Saccharomyces cerevisiae S288C: one gene and its partners. The gene in region 2 interacts genetically with the main gene of each other region. Each region holds a gene or a part of one and is shown on either strand. Other genes may lie near its edges.

Region 1 (5,198 bases), on a different chromosome or scaffold from region 2:
TTGCGAACAATTTGAAAAAAAGCGTGGTAGATATAATCATCAAATCTAGTTTGCAGGAATCTACATTCTCTAAATTTTATTCTATTTTGTCCGAACGTATGATAACGTTCCACAGGAGTTGGCAGACAGCTTACAATGAAACTTTTGAGCAGAATTATACACAAGATATCGAAGATTATGAAACTGACCAACTGCGAATCTTAGGTAAGTTTTGGGGACACTTAATATCTTATGAATTTCTTCCAATGGACTGTCTTAAGATAATTAAGTTAACTGAGGAAGAATCGTGTCCTCAAGGAAGAATTTTCATCAAATTTTTATTTCAAGAGCTCGTAAATGAGCTCGGATTAGATGAGCTGCAATTAAGGCTAAACTCCAGCAAGCTTGACGGAATGTTTCCGCTGGAAGGAGACGCCGAACATATAAGATACTCCATAAATTTCTTTACTGCCATAGGATTGGGCCTGCTCACAGAGGACATGAGAAGCCGGTTGACAATTATTCAAGAAGTTGAGGATGCAGAGGAAGAAGAAAAAAAATTGAGAGAAGAGGAGGAACTTGAAAAGTTACGGAAGAAGGCCAGAGAGTCACAACCAACCCAAGGGCCAAAAATTCACGAATCCAGGTTATTTTTACAGAAGGACACCAGAGAAAATAGTAGATCAAGATCGCCATTCACAGTGGAAACAAGAAAACGTGCTAGATCCAGAACTCCACCAAGAGGATCGAGAAACCATCGTAACAGATCCAGGACTCCGCCTGCAAGAAGGCAACGGCATAGATGAAGAGCCCGGCCAAACAAACATTACACATGTAATCGTACATATTTACATAGAACCGTACACGCTTTTAGCCAAAAAAAAAAGAAAGGTAGAATATAAAATAAAAACTCGTATTTCGTATTAAGACAAATATACAGAAATACAAATGAGATCATAAACGAACTAAAATAGGAAAATGAAAAAAAAAAAAAAAGATTAGCGAAGGCAAACCAGAAAGCAGTCCTTTGATATAACAGAGAAAAAGAAGATTATCAAAGCCTTAATTTAAAGTTAAAAATATTGGGTATCGTTTTTTAAATCAAGATTTTTTTTGTTTTTTTTTACAATTGAGTAGACTTATTCATTGGATAGAATACCCCAGTATTTTTCAACACCGTAAGCACCGTCGGCCTTCCAGTAGTCGTTGAAGGCAGTGAATAAGAAGGTATCAGCACCACAGGAGCTGGTAATGGCGGAAACAGCGTCCTTTTGATTTTCCTTAGATGGAACAGCAACACCGTAAGTCTCACCCTTTGATGGCCAACCAGACTCAGTGATAACAACATTCTTCTTACCATCACAAGCAGTCCAGACTCTTTGGATTTGTTCTAGTAACCATTTACCGGAGTCTTGGGCAACTGTGTTCTTGTCAAAGTAAGCATGGGCATTAACAGCCATGTAGTCGGAGTAGTCACACAATTCAGGGTTGTTGATCACAGCAATAAAAGTATCAACAGAAACAACTGGACCAGTGTAACCGGCAGCCTTCAAGGCAGATCTACCAGAGTCAATGTATTGACCGACTTGGGATGGGGTAGCTTGGTTACCGTTAACCAATTCGTTACCAATGGAAACAGTGGTGACATCGTCCCAAGAACCGTAAGATTCAACAGCAGACTTGATGGTGTTGACACCGTCTTGGATTTGGTCAACGTAGTAAATACCTAAAAAGACTTTTTGGTTCGAAGCCTTAGCCTTGAAAACATTTTCAACTTGGTTACAGTCGGTACCGTACAATCTAATGACTGGGAAGTCAGTCAATTGAGCTAAATCGGAAGCAACTTCCGAAGCGGATTTACAAGCACCGCTGGACTCGTATGGGGTATAAGTGATACCTCTGACACCAGAGGCAAAGCTGCTGACGTCTTCGCCGGAAGAACTAGAGGAAGAAGCTTGGGAGGAAGAGGAAGATTGAGTAGATGTAGCAGCAGAGCTGGAGGCTGGAGATGCGGCAGCAGAAACTTGTGAGTTGTTCTCAGAAGAGGAAGCAGCAGCGGTAGCTACAGAAGCAGCAGACGATGTTGTACTGGTAGCGGCAGCTGGAGCGGAGTTGACAACAGCATTTTCTTCCAAAGCAGCAACTGGAGTTGAAGCGGCACCATTAACAATGATAGTGGTTTGTTTTTGAACAGTGGTAGTGACCACAGCACGCTTGTCCTTGTGTTCGTGGTTAGCGGGAGCAGCAAGAGTAGCAGCAGATAAAAGAGAGGCAGAAGCAATTAGGTTAGAGAGACGCATATTTTTCTAGTTTGCTTTTCGGTATGGCTTGCTAGTATATAAACGATTGTAGATGTAAAAGAATGACTTAGTTGGATTTAGTTAGATATCTAGCTGGACCTTTGTGTAAACACTATTAAAAGAATAGAATAAGGGCTAAAAGAACTACTAAACAGAAAACAATTATGACAGAAGATAAAGAATACATATCTATTAGTTTTATAAAACAGAGATCTTCTCCTCGAGGAATGGGAGAAAACAGAAAAAAAAAAACAAAAACAACGGTGCCGTTTTTGAAACAACACCACAAGAGAAAATTTCTGAAAAAAATGCGCGTGAAAAGGAATCATGTGCCTATTTTCCTCATTTGGAGAGGCTAAACGAAAAGGGAAAAGAGGTGCGTTGCGCGTGTTTCTAGGGAGAAGATCCTATTGCAGCAGGGTGTCGCGCGAAAAGCGGTGCCTACAAATTACAAAACCCTCTGGGAAATGACCGTGCAGGGTCGTTTGTGGATGCATCTCGATTAGGCCGGGCTAGGCATCTTGATTCTTTCCCAAAATGGAGTTAACGAGCTCGATTGGGCGTTAATTGATGGATTTGGTTACACTGATACGAATTGAGCCCGTTTATCATTCATGCAGCGGCTTTATGGAGGGTGTGGAAGACGTTAGCGATGTTATGCTTTCCACTTGCTCTACTATCTTCCATCAAACCCACCTAATAAAGCTGAAGGTTTTGCAGGGGCAGAAGTCGTGGCGCAATAAGTTCAATAAATACTTATAATATTACTTACTAGTTTAATCATGTATGTAAAAACTCGTTGCGGTATGCTGTCGTACTGGCACACATTTTTTTTTTTCATTTTTATTTGCTTTTTTCTTTGGCACCGGGGAAGAATTTTTCCCCACTCTATATATCTTGCTGCGTGTGCAGACTGGCCAGCTGCTCACACAATGAAACGCAATGGAATGTTTAGTCGTTTGTTATCATAAAGATCTCATTCAGTGCCTTGGAGTCCATCAACGCGGCCCTCTTTTGTTTTATCCATTTGGAGCGCACCGATAGTCTTGTGTTTACCGCATCGGGGATATTGGATGCAGATTCACTAGATTTTAATTTTGACGTCTTTTTCGTTTCTTTGGTCTTTTCCGCCCTTTTTTCCTTCTTCAATCTCTTCTCTTCCTTTTTATGTTTCTTATGCTCCTTTTTGTCCTTCTTGTCTTTTTTCTTGTCTTTCTTATGCTTTTTGTGCTTCTTGTGCTTCTTTTTATCACTGTCTTTATCCTCTTTGTCGTCATCATCTTCATCTTCGCTATCGTCTCCTTCCCTCTTTCGTTTCTTCGCGTTGGAGTAATTTCTTAACTTGTGAGTCTTTGGATCCCACGTGCTTGCTAAAACTTCACCCTTCACAAAATGGATACCCCATTTTCCGTCAATAATCTTCTGCTTTCTCTGCGTGTCCAATTCCTCTGATATTTTGCTTTCCTTTCCGTTCAGCCTACCAAGAATTCGCTGGAAGACATCCAACCCTGCGCATTCACCATTATCAAACTCGTCTTTTTTGTCTTTACGTTTTAATTTAGCACCGAGCCCAACGTTGTCGTCCTTAATTGACACTTTGATATGCGAAGTGTTCGAATTCATGGGGGATAACCCCAGACCCATACCGGGTTTCCATCCAAACTTTTCTAGAAATTGGTGCCCGAATCTCGAGGTGTCGTTACTCCATGCCGTATTTCTGGGGTCTAAACCAAACCGCTGTTTGGTTCTTGTAGCTGCCAAACCCATTCTGCTTCTTTGTTTAATGGTGTAAGCTGCCTATATGTTACTATTGAGTACTCATCTCATCGCTTCTTTCAGAACAAAATTTTTCATATTTTTTTTTTTTCCTTTTCTTTTTTTTTTTTTCTTTGACTGTTACCCGGTTGTTTATATTTGTAGGAAAACAACAACGACAGAGAAAATATCCTTGCAGTGGCGGCTAATTTGTTAGTTGACTGATTGATCACCTTCACTTATTAAAGTAAAATCAGCATACAAGAGATCAGAAGGGAGAAAGAGAGTGGGCAAGGCTATAGTACTTTGAAGAAAGCATCTTTGAACCGACCAGTTCTCTTCACAAGCAAAATCTATATGACTAACCGCAAGGGGCAAAGGGTTGTGAGAGGGCCCGTCTTTCTCCCGCTATAGCCGTCACTGGTATCCCTCCTGGCTGCACAAATCCGATAGAAAGGGGAAGAAGGAAGTTTAGTGCCACCTTATAGCACGCAGTTACTGTTTACGCTAAGGAGAGGCATACTCAATTTTTATTAGTCGCCTTCTTTAGTTGCTGCGTTTTTATCCACGGTTCTCTACTAAATGCTTGCGATAAGCGCTTCTATTTTCCTCCCCACCGCGAGGCGGAAATGGCACATTTTTTTTCTTTTGCTTCTGTGCTTTTGTTGTAATTTTTGGCATGTGCTATTGTATGAAGATAACGCGTGGTTCCGTGGAAATAGCCGGAAATTTTGCCGGGAATATGACGGACATGATTTAACACCCGTGGAAATGAAAAAAGCCAAGGTAAGAAAGTGGCAATATTTTTCCTACAAATAGATCTGCTGTCCCTTAAATGATTACCATACATATATATATTTATTACACATCTGTCAGAGGTAGCTAGCGAAGGTGTCACTGAAATATTTTTTGTTCCAGTTAGTATAAATACGGAGGTAGAACAGCTCTCCGCGTGTATATCTTTTTTTGCGCTATACAAGAACAGGAAGAACGCATTTCCATACCTTTTTCTCCTTACAGGTGCCCTCTGAGTAGTGTCACGAACGAGGAAAAAGATTAATATTACTGTTTTTATATTCAAAAAGAGTAAAGCCGTTGCTATATACGAATATGACGATTACCGTGGGGGATGCAGTTTCGGAGACGGAGCTGGAAAACAAAAGT
Region 2 (4,790 bases):
ATCTTCCATAAATGTGCTGAAGTTTTTCACTGTGAACTCGAATAAAGTTTTCGTTATAGCAATAGATAATATCGACGAGTGGTTAAACTTGCACATCAACATAGTTGAGTAAGAGGTGAAGAAAAGTACACCGCTTCCGGTATATATCGCCTCCTGATTAAGAGATCAATGGAGAGCACATTAATAAGTTTGTATTAAAGAATTAAGAACTAAAAATAGTGTATATGATGATTATATAAGAATTATTAAACTACCCCTATTGCTTTTAGAAAACCCTGTCTTGAATGAGAGGATGTTTTACACGCAACGCGTAAGAAACATCTTTAAAGAGACTAGACATGAAACGATACTGCTCAGGGCAATTTAGGGGCTTTCCCACAAAGATGGTGGTATAACGGGGCTAGTCTGTCAAAAAGCCTAGAAGTGAAAAACGAATAACAAAAAAATAACATAATACTGAAAGAAAGCATTAAGAAGGCGGATGTGTCAAACACCACCGTTTATAAGAATAACATAGCAACACCAGCCAAACCTAAAGCACCTGGAACGACGACGTTAGCACCGTTACTGTTGATGACAACGGAATGAGAAGAAGCAGAGGATGAAACTGGGACGACTGTGGAGACGGTTAGACTTGGGTTGGCTGTGGTTTGTTTGGTAGTAACACCTGTTTCTTTGGTGGTAGTGCCCTTAGATTCGGTAACTGGGACAGAAGACTCAGGGGCTTCGCTCTTTTCAATAGTACATGGACAGTCAGTGATAGTCAAAGTGGTTGGTTCAGTGACGGTGTAAGTCTTACCGTTTGTGGTGAAAGTGGTTGGTTCTGGACAGTAAGTAGTGTACTCAGTGACTACAGTGTATTCGGTGGTTGATGTGGTTGTTGGCTTTTCAATGGTGCATGGACAGTCAGTGATAGTCAATGTGGTTGGTTCAGTGACGGTGTAAGTCTTACCGTTTGTGGTGAAAGTGGTTGGTTCTGGACAGTAAGTAGTATATTCAGTGACTACAGTGTAGTCAGTGGTGTAGTCAGTAGATGGGTTGTAAGGAGGAGTGGTGGTAGTGTTGCTTGGTGGCAAAGATGTAGTTGGTGGGAAAGCTGAAGTGGTACCGTTGGTTGGAAGACCGGTGGTTGGAGCTTCAGTAGTAGTATCAGTTGGAGCTTCAGTAGAAGTACCGTTAGTTGGAAGAGCGGTGGTTGGAGCTTCAGTAGTAGTATCAGTTGGAGCTTCAGTAGAGGTACCGTTAGTTGGGATAGCAGTGGTTGGAGCTTCAGTAGAGGTACCGTTAGTTGGGATAGCAGTGGTTGGAGCCTCTGTTGAGGTTTCAGTTGGTGCAGCTGTGCTGGTACCGTTGTCGGATTCTGGAGCTTCAGAAGATGTGATAGTTACTGAGCCAGAGGAAGTGGAGATGGAAGAGGAGGAAGTGACATCGGTGGAAGAAGCAGATGTACTGTTGGAAAATTGGGCCAAAGTAGTCGAGGCTAAACCGGCAGATAATAGGACAGTTGATAATTTCATCTTAATAGAGCGAACGTATTTTATTTTGCTTGTCTTTGTAGTTACGACTATAAATCAATAATTACAAGAGAATAGAAAAAGAGAGGTGAGATAATACGATAATGGAGAATAAAATAGGTCAGGTATTTATATGACAGTTCAAAAGAGGGCAGAGCAATGTTCCTTACTCTAGTTCTACCCCAGCCCCTACGGCCAATCTAAAAATAATGCGACTGGGAGCCATACCGTACTAATTCATTTTACCGTAGTAAAATGGATGAAAAACTGCTTAAAGGCTTTTTGTCTTATTTTTAGAAATTAGTGGACAAAAAATCATTTTCAATCAAAAATACACAAGAATGGAAAGAGATGACATCGAGAAGGGATGGATCTTTAGCCAAATAAAGTAATCAATGACCGTGTGTGCTCTGGCGCGCTGGGCCCTCTCCTCTTTCGTAATGAAAATATAATAACAATAACGGTTCTGATGGCTAATTTTAGCGATATATGCCTTTTTGTCCTCGAAAGAAGGCCGCATGACGTGGAGCAATCAGTGGTGTATGGAAGGTAGACCTCGGGGCTAAGCTTTCTCGGGGAGACGGTGCCGTCTGGGAGATAATTCCAACCAATATTACTGCTTTAGGTCATCCACCACGGGTAGTGTTGAGGATTACCTTTTTCGGTCTACGCAATATTATCCATTGACAGTTTGGCGTACCGTACAAAAAGCCGCTGCTGCAGGTTGTACTTCAACTTTAAGTCGCCGCGTTGCAAGTACATTGTGAAAAGATACTGCCTTACGTTAATTTTCTATATCCAATTGGGGAATATGCATGTCCGAATCTGGCAGATGCATGGATCGTTGAATAGTATTTCCAATTCCGTGTAAGCTGTTGCTTACATTAATCCTATAAGGGTAATGGGTGTGCTTGAGGGGATGTGTACATACCACTTTAGGTTCGAGCTGCATACCCCAATATGGAAAAACGTATTCACCTTAACTCCAACAGATTAAAATCCTAAATAGGTAAAATTACCCTTAACTTTTCTTTGTAGTTGTTGGGTGGAATGTTGTCGTTTTTCCATTTTTTATTGTTTTCGGTTTTCGGTTTTTTTATTTTACTATTAACCTTCACTATCATAAATTATCTCCTCCTTTCCCTCCGCATTTGGTAATGGATTATCATTGGAGTCAATATTGTTAAACACTTGTGAGCAACTGCTGCTGCTTGTTGATAATGTTGGAAATGAGGCAATATTAGCAGTATCAGGTTTCAGATCAATTATATCGCGGAGTTGACCTGTTGCTTTATCAAAATCAAATTTGACAATATAGTTACGATCGTCGCTGCTTCTTGACCGCTTTAAATTTCGTCCTTCTCTTTTTCTATCTTCGCCGTGTAAATTAAAAACAATAGCTATTCTCAAGTTTTCAAAGTTTCGTTTGTTTATTCTCATTTCTTTGATGGTAGTACATCCCTCGTTACTCTGCGAGGATGACGCCTTCACTCTTTTGCTTTTCACGAAAACGGTTTCGTCCACTTGTTCATTCCAATCCCTAAAAAGGCCGATCCTGTCTCTTAGAAATACTTCCCAAGTGGAATCCTTGCTTCCCATAGCGATATTGGCAACGAGCGCGCTTTTCAATATATGTACATTGTTCTTACGCCTTTCGTTGTTAGAGTTGACAAAGAAGTTAGATCCGTCGTCTAAAATTTCGTAGTATTCTTCCAAGGATTCGAATTCGTTTGATTGGAAGGCGGTGTTCATACAGTCATTTAAAACTATTATTGTCGAACCCGTGGAATGTGTGTATTTGGTCATTACCGTAAAAATTAATATCAAATGTCGACATTTTAACTCGTGTATAGTTTTATCTATCATTCCGCCGCCTCTTTTACTTAGTGTACACAGATGATCGCAGACTAATTGAGAAAATCCATCAATTATAACTAGTTTATATCGCACACTTTGAGATAATTTGAACAAATTCTGGAAGAAATATAATAGCTGTCCAAATTTCGTTATTCGGACCCGCTTCACATTTTCTTCCACGATTTTAAATTTTTGAAAGCGTTCTCTTAGTATGTTTATGGGCATTTCTTGAAATGTTTCTATCCATAGAATTTTATCGTCGTTTATTTCCGATTGTTGTATGCCTTCTAACGAATTACACACCAATTGAATGCCAAAATTAGTCTTGCCAATGCCCGGAGGCCCAAATATTTCGTAGATCGACCTTGCCTGGAATCCCAGGTTTAATATCTCATCTAATCCTGTGATGCCGCTACTTAATGGCTTTGGACTTTCTACTATTAATTGGGAAAGTGGTATACCAAGCGACATATTTTCATATTATATATTATTAATAAGTTCTTTTCCTTATCTAAAAGCTTTCCTTAATGTACTTGACATCTTTGATAGCGGAGCTTATTATTAGTTAGTCATGCTACTATGTATTTTTTTCTATTTTTCATATCAAACGCGATGAGAAGAGAACACGTGAAGAACTTAGGGGACCTCCGCATCTATAACATATTCTACTGAAGAAAAAAAGGAATAAAAAATAAAAGAAGAAACGGTAGCTGGGTATATATTAGTATTCAAAAGCCATATTGTTAATTAGCTAAGATGTGAAAAGAAGTATGTAATATTACAATTTTTTTTCCTTTATTGCATTATGAAGAAAAAAAGAAAAATGCACTTGACAATTAGAGTGCCTGTTAAAAATTTATAAGAAATAGTCCATTTGAGATTTTTTGGTTGGAATTATAGCATTTCCGACTTCATTTTGTGCCTGAACAGCTTCAAAAATTGTATATTCACGATTCAAATCGTCGTCTATCTTCAATACAGCTGCTACATTACCACAACGATAACAGTAATTCGGTGCCGACCAGACTGTCACTAATCCACCGTCGAACATTTCTTTGTAACCTTCCATCACTAACTGATGAGCTCTAGCAATTAACTCAACGTTGTTTTTCTCTAAGAATTGATCAACTTCTCTTTTACCGAAAAGAAATCCAGCACCTCTTGGTGATAATGACCATGTGTCAACGTCTTCGGGGTCGCTCCATAATAAGTCACACATAGCACCTTCATGTGGAACTTCTTGTTTCCTGTCTATTGTTCGTATTTCATCAACCGTGGTCATATCCGGAGATAATCCACCATGAACACAGAATATGCTATTGTTTATTATTGCCCCCAATGATAAATAATCAAAAACTTCACAGCAGTACCTCCATACGTTACTATTACCATATTTTCTTACTACTTCATCGTAAAATC
Region 3 (5,550 bases), on a different chromosome or scaffold from region 2:
GAGTCGTTAAGAACAAGAAGTTAACATCATGGGAGTTGAAAAAACAAAAAAGACTCGAAGATAAACAGTTCAAAGAAAGATTGAAGGCTTTGAAGGATGAGAAGGAAGAAGCTCGTCAAGCTAAAATAACCATGTTAAAGGAAAGAAGAGAGAAGAAGGAAGAGAATGAAAGATACGAACGTTTGGCTGCTAAGATGCATGCTAAGAAGGTTGAAAGAATGAGAAGAAGAGAGAAAAGGAACAAGGCTTTAAAAGAACGTTAGATCGAAATTCTTTCTCAAAAAAAAAAAAAAATAAATTCATATGGATAAGCACAATGGTATAAAGCATTATAGAAGGCTCATAGATACACAGGTCAATAACCTACAATGGTTAATATCTTAGCAGTAATTGTATAGTAATTTTATTTAAGAAATATCTCTTTAAGAAGAAAAAGAGGTGCGGACTCATTATTAAGTCCTGACAAGGAGAAAATAAGGGCATCCCTAGACAGTTATTATTCACTAAAAACTGGAAAAAACTAAAAATTTTTTGAAGCCCGTATGGCTTATTATGCGAATTCTGTGGATCGAACACAGGACCTCCAGATAACTTGACCGAAGTTTTTTCTTCAGTCTGGCGCTCTCCCAACTGAGCTAAATCCGCATATATTTTATAGGAAAATCATCAACACGTACAAACCACATAAAGCGTAAGGATAAAATCAAATAACGTTTGAACTGACACTAATCGGGCCAAATAATAGGAGTATTTATTTTAATTTATTCCTTGACTTGAATAAGTATGAAATTTTAACAACCATTCTAAAAATTAAAAATTGATAATTACCTGAATGTTATAATATACAAAGTGAAATGATAATGTAGATATGTAAATGAACTGAATAATCCCGTATATAAGAAGAGTAAGAAGTACTCGTGCACATTTCAATGCCAAACTTACATTCTTGCTTCCTGTCTTCTTTATTTTATCTTTAACCTATACCCTGGTGTATTTGTAGTTAGAAATTAGAACCGCAAATTTGTAAAACATCTATATCGTTAATGTCGTAATGGAAAAGATCTAATTACTGTTTTCTGATCTTTTATATGCATGTTTCTCTATTCGATTTAGAAAACTTATGGAAAATATTCAATCACACCGAAAGATTGTTCGATACCGTAATCACCGGGAGCCTTCCAGTAATCATTGTAAGTCGATAAGATTGTAACATCCAAGTCCATTTCATTCAAGATGTTTTGGACTGCAGTAATTTGGTTAGCAGTGGATGGAATGTTGCCTCCATTTTGAATACCAGACGATGGGTAACCTGTTTCCGTGACGAAAACATTAGAAGTACCACAAACACCTTGAATTAATTCAACTTGACCCTTAACAAATGTACCGGCAGTTTCAGCACTGGCGCTAGTATCAAAGTAGGCATGTGGGTTGATACCAACGAAGTCAATATCAGATTTTTTGCACAAATCAGGGTTATTTTCAAATGAGACAGGGGGCTCACTGGTAGTAATTTGGCCAGAATAGCCAGCTTCGCTTAATTTGGATTTGACAGAGGAAATTTTACTAATCAAATCAGAAACTGAACACCAACCATTATTGATAGCTTCATTTCCAACAGTAATGAAATCAAAGACATCCCAACCGTTAGTTTGACCATATTGAATCAATGTGGTAACAGAATCATCTATGGAATCAACGCCGCTACTGGTGATATACAAACCTTGGTTAATCTTAATACCTAGTTTTACGGCTGCTGGTTGGACGGTTTCAAAGGAATTACAGTCGGTGCCATAAACACGGATTTTGGAAATACCTTTAGATTTGATCAACGTTAAGTCAGAAGAGACAGCGTCTGCAGACTTACAAGAGCCATCATCATTATATGGTGAATATGCAATAGCCTTTGGAGAAGAAGTTATAGCAGCGCTGCTACTAGAGGAACCTTCAGAGGTGGTAGCGGCTGTTTCCTGTGTGGATGAAGTAGAGGACGAAGTAGAGGACGAAGTAGAGGAAGAAGTAGAAGAAGAAGTAGAGGAAGAAGTAGAAGAAGAAGTAGAAGAAGAAGTAGAGGACGACGTAGAGGACGACGTAGGTGTATTGGTTGATTCGGTGGACTCCTGAGAAGCAATTGAGGTACTCGTTTGTTGATTCAAAGTTGAAGTCGCAGCTGCTTGGTAAGAATGATGCTGACTTTGAGTGTTGCCTTCAACATTGGCTTCACCGACACCACTCACGATATTTTGTGTGGAAGTAGACGTAGTGGTAGGGGAAGGAGAGGAGGAGATAGAGGTAGAAGTAGTAGCTAATTGTTGCACATCCTCACTAGTACCTGCAGAAACAGACATAGCAGTTTGTTGCGTAGAGACGGCTTGCAAAGTAGATTCTGCTTGAAAAGAGGAGGTTGATTGTGGAATAGTGCTTGGCTGCAAAGTAGAGGTTGGCTGCGAAGATGTACTCATTTCAGCCTTTTTTAAGAGAACTTTAGTGATAGTCGTAGTTGGTTCAGCTGTTGGGTTCACACCTTGTGGAATTAAGGTTGTTGTAAAGGTAACACTATCGCTTATTAGGAATTCGACAGTTGGGGCAATAACAACTTCGGTAGTAGTGGAGTAAAAATCAGTCACAACATTAGTTGTGCTTGCTGTGTGAACTCTCGTTACAACTTCTCTCTTAGGAAGAATCGGTAAAGCTGAGGTTAGATAAGTTAAGCATAGCAGCGATGATAGAAAGCTTATGGGTGAAATCATGATGGTTTTCTATTAGATATTATATCAATGAGTGTAGCGTAATAATAAGTCGATAAACAGTACAGAGAATAGAATAGATTTATTACAGTGGAGGTATGTCAGTAAAGGCTTATTCTTCTAAAAGAGTGGACTGTCTTTGTTGCGTAACTGACGATTATAGTACTGTTGCCTTAATATATAACAGTGTATTTGGATAAGCAGAAGGAAAACACGATCATTGAACTTCAATTTTCTTTCCACTTAAATAGTCCCTCCTCAGATTCTTAATTTGTTTTCGGTGCAGCATATTTTGTTGTCAGTCCTTACACTTTAACATTTTGAGATCTAGTATCCAGCTTGTAAACAATAACATTCCCTAACTTTTATTCATCTTACCGCAGTAAATAGAAAAGACCTCACTTCGCAACCATTAATCCCCAAAAGAAAAAAAAAAATGTGACATTTCATAATGCATGTTTCGAGTGTGTTTTCGATTGTTTATTTGTCTGGCTTTTAGCTGCAATGGCCCAGACTGCTAGTTACCAGTTGCTGGTTTCCACGATTTTTTAACTTTTTCTCACAGCCGCATCGAAATGTAAATAAACGCGAGAAAAAAAAAGCTGAAAATGCTGGCTCTAACTAAGAGATGCGAGGCCCTTTTCGAATAGCTGGAACATTTATAATTTTCATCCTGCATACTGGTACATATCTGGTTACATATCTGTTTATATGACTGAAAATATCTACATAGATTCAGAAGCGTCCAAGGATGTTGACAACAAGTGCTGTCCAGCCTGTGAAATGCTCAGCACCAGTACCATGACCATCTATCGGACTGTAATTTTCATAACAATAACCTTGTTCTTCCCAAACTTTGTATATGTTGTTACTGAGATTAATCTTTAAACTTTGGTACAGTTTCTTGGCATTGCTAGCCTCACCAGCCACGTCGAGAATCACCTCTGGGTAGTAGTATCTCATTGCGTCAAGACACAAGTAATTAATATTCATCCAAATTGGGCCTCTCCAATAGTTTTCATCCTTGCCGAAATAGTCGTCTTGTCTCGATAGTGATAACAGCCCGTAGTCTGAAAAGATTTTTTCTGGGTCACTCATCAAAGCAACTACTTTCTCTAGCTTGGGTGAGTTTTTGGGGATTAGCTTCAATGCAAAGGGCAATACGGAGACGTAACCCTCATGACATACAAACTCCCTAATCTCATCGTCTTCTGGATCGATGCTAATATCACAGTAGCAATTGTCATTTTCACTCCAGTGTAACAAATCCAGATTCTCGACCACCTCTTGCTCAATTTGTGCATATCTTTGCTCGTCCTGTGTTAACTTCAACACGTGAGCAATTTGCTTCATGGATCTTGTCATAACGCCCACCCATGCTAATGCGTCTACGTTCAATTCTGCTACATCTGGTGGTTGTGCTCTAGGATAGTCATCCATACCGCTTGGCAAACAATGAGTGAAGGTACGCCCAACCCATCTATAAACTTCGTTCTTATGAATCTTATCCCATATTCCTTCATCTTCCAATATTTCCTCATATTCATCAATAAGTCCTGTTTGAGATTTTCTGAACCAATTATAGTGCTTCAATAGCTTAGGATAAATTTTCTTGGCATATTCGGTTAGCAAGCCAGGATTGGCTTCTAGATTGTTCGTCATAAACTTGGCTGTCCTACTATTGAACATGACTTGGTGGTAGCTGTCACTGTTGAAATCGCCGATGTTTTCAATGGCCCTAGAAAGCATTTCACTAAATGCTAGCAATAAAGTTGGCGGATTAGCAATATTGGGATTTTGCACCTGAAATTCCTGCGGAACTTTACTCCTTGCCTCATTACCCAGTATAATTTCTCTAGCAATCCAACCACTATCATCTTCGATCATTTCAAACCAGCTCGCTAAGATTTCAAAGGCAAGGTCAAAATCATACTCCATAATTTGTAGAAGATGGAAACCTTCATCCCAATAGAATCCACGTGGGAAAAAGCCACGGCTCGGAACGCTGGTAAACAGTTCAAATGGACCTTCCTCTTTTGCATTCAGCAGTTTGATCTCTGTAAACTGGCTCTCATCAAATTCTGTTTCACGATCAATTAGTTGATTCCCATAGAAATAACCGATTCCTCCTAATAGGTTTGATAGCGTCTCTAAAGCAAATCTTCTTTTGACCTCCACGCTTTCAATTGAGTCGGGACCTTCTCCAAAACTAAACTGCTTATCAAAACGCGCGTTTATCTCATTTAGTGACCAAGTAATCAACTCCGTAACTTGTTCCCTGGTGGAAATACTTTGAGTAGTGCCAAGTTTATTGTAAGTGATATCAAATTGGAACCCATCTTTTTTGGTCAAATCAAATGTCTTTTGTATATAATGAAAATTACCAGGATTAAAATTGTACAAATTTCTAATAGTTAAAACACTTGGTATTAAATCAGCAGGACGCTGCTTTGTCTCTTCCTTTTCCAGTATATCACGTATCGAATCGCTAACTAGAGATTGGAAAACATCACGAGCCTTCCAAACTTCTTTATCCGGGATTTGAAGTGATAAATGACTTGTTTTAGAGCAGTCACTTCCTGGTGCTACTTCCATGGTTTCATATTCCGGATTTTTGAAGTAGTGACCAAAATTGTCCTTTACTGTAAGATGATACTCGCCTAATTCTTTAGAATATCCGAAGAATTTCATGTCATTAGGGCCGTCATGACCTATCATTGCTAAGGAAGATTTTCCATCTATCTCGCCACCATTTTGACTAAAGTACAATACGACAGATGCTGTAGATGGTCTCTTGGGATCCAAA

Evidence for each region. Genes that interact genetically often act in the same process or in processes that back each other up.
Region 1: of SED1 (region 2) and SCW4, changing one enhances a phenotype caused by changing the other (phenotypic enhancement), as found in Saccharomyces cerevisiae (one study listed by BioGRID).
Region 3: of SED1 (region 2) and SCW11, changing one enhances a phenotype caused by changing the other (phenotypic enhancement), as found in Saccharomyces cerevisiae (one study listed by BioGRID).

Annotation. Positions count from the first base shown.
Region 1 is NC_001139.9:1,047,680-1,052,877, forward strand, and holds SCW4 (putative family 17 glucosidase), read right to left. Parts: upstream 2,280-5,198; coding exon 1,119-2,279; downstream 1-1,118. Other genes in the region: U2-type spliceosomal complex subunit CWC22, read left to right, coding at 1-785; PXR1 (telomerase inhibitor), read right to left, coding at 3,231-4,046; ATP-binding cassette transporter YOR1, read left to right, coding at 5,145-5,198. UniProt on the Saccharomyces cerevisiae protein: Glucanases possibly play a role in cell expansion during growth, in cell-cell fusion during mating, and in spore release during sporulation.
Region 2 is NC_001136.10:597,520-602,309, reverse strand, and holds SED1 (Sed1p), read right to left. Parts: upstream 1,518-4,790; coding exon 501-1,517; downstream 1-500. Other genes in the region: SHU2 (Shu2p), read left to right, coding at 1-112; putative DNA-dependent ATPase RAD55, read right to left, coding at 2,622-3,842; phosphoprotein phosphatase PP4 catalytic subunit PPH3, read right to left, coding at 4,228-4,790. UniProt on the Saccharomyces cerevisiae protein: Component of the cell wall. Major cell wall protein in stationary phase cells. Required to stabilize the cell wall in the absence of multiple GPI-anchored mannoproteins.
Region 3 is NC_001139.9:440,163-445,712, forward strand, and holds SCW11 (putative glucan endo-1,3-beta-D-glucosidase), read right to left. Parts: upstream 2,748-5,550; coding exon 1,119-2,747; downstream 1-1,118. Other genes in the region: CGR1 (Cgr1p), read left to right, coding at 1-263; CWH41 (mannosyl-oligosaccharide glucosidase), read right to left, coding at 3,480-5,550.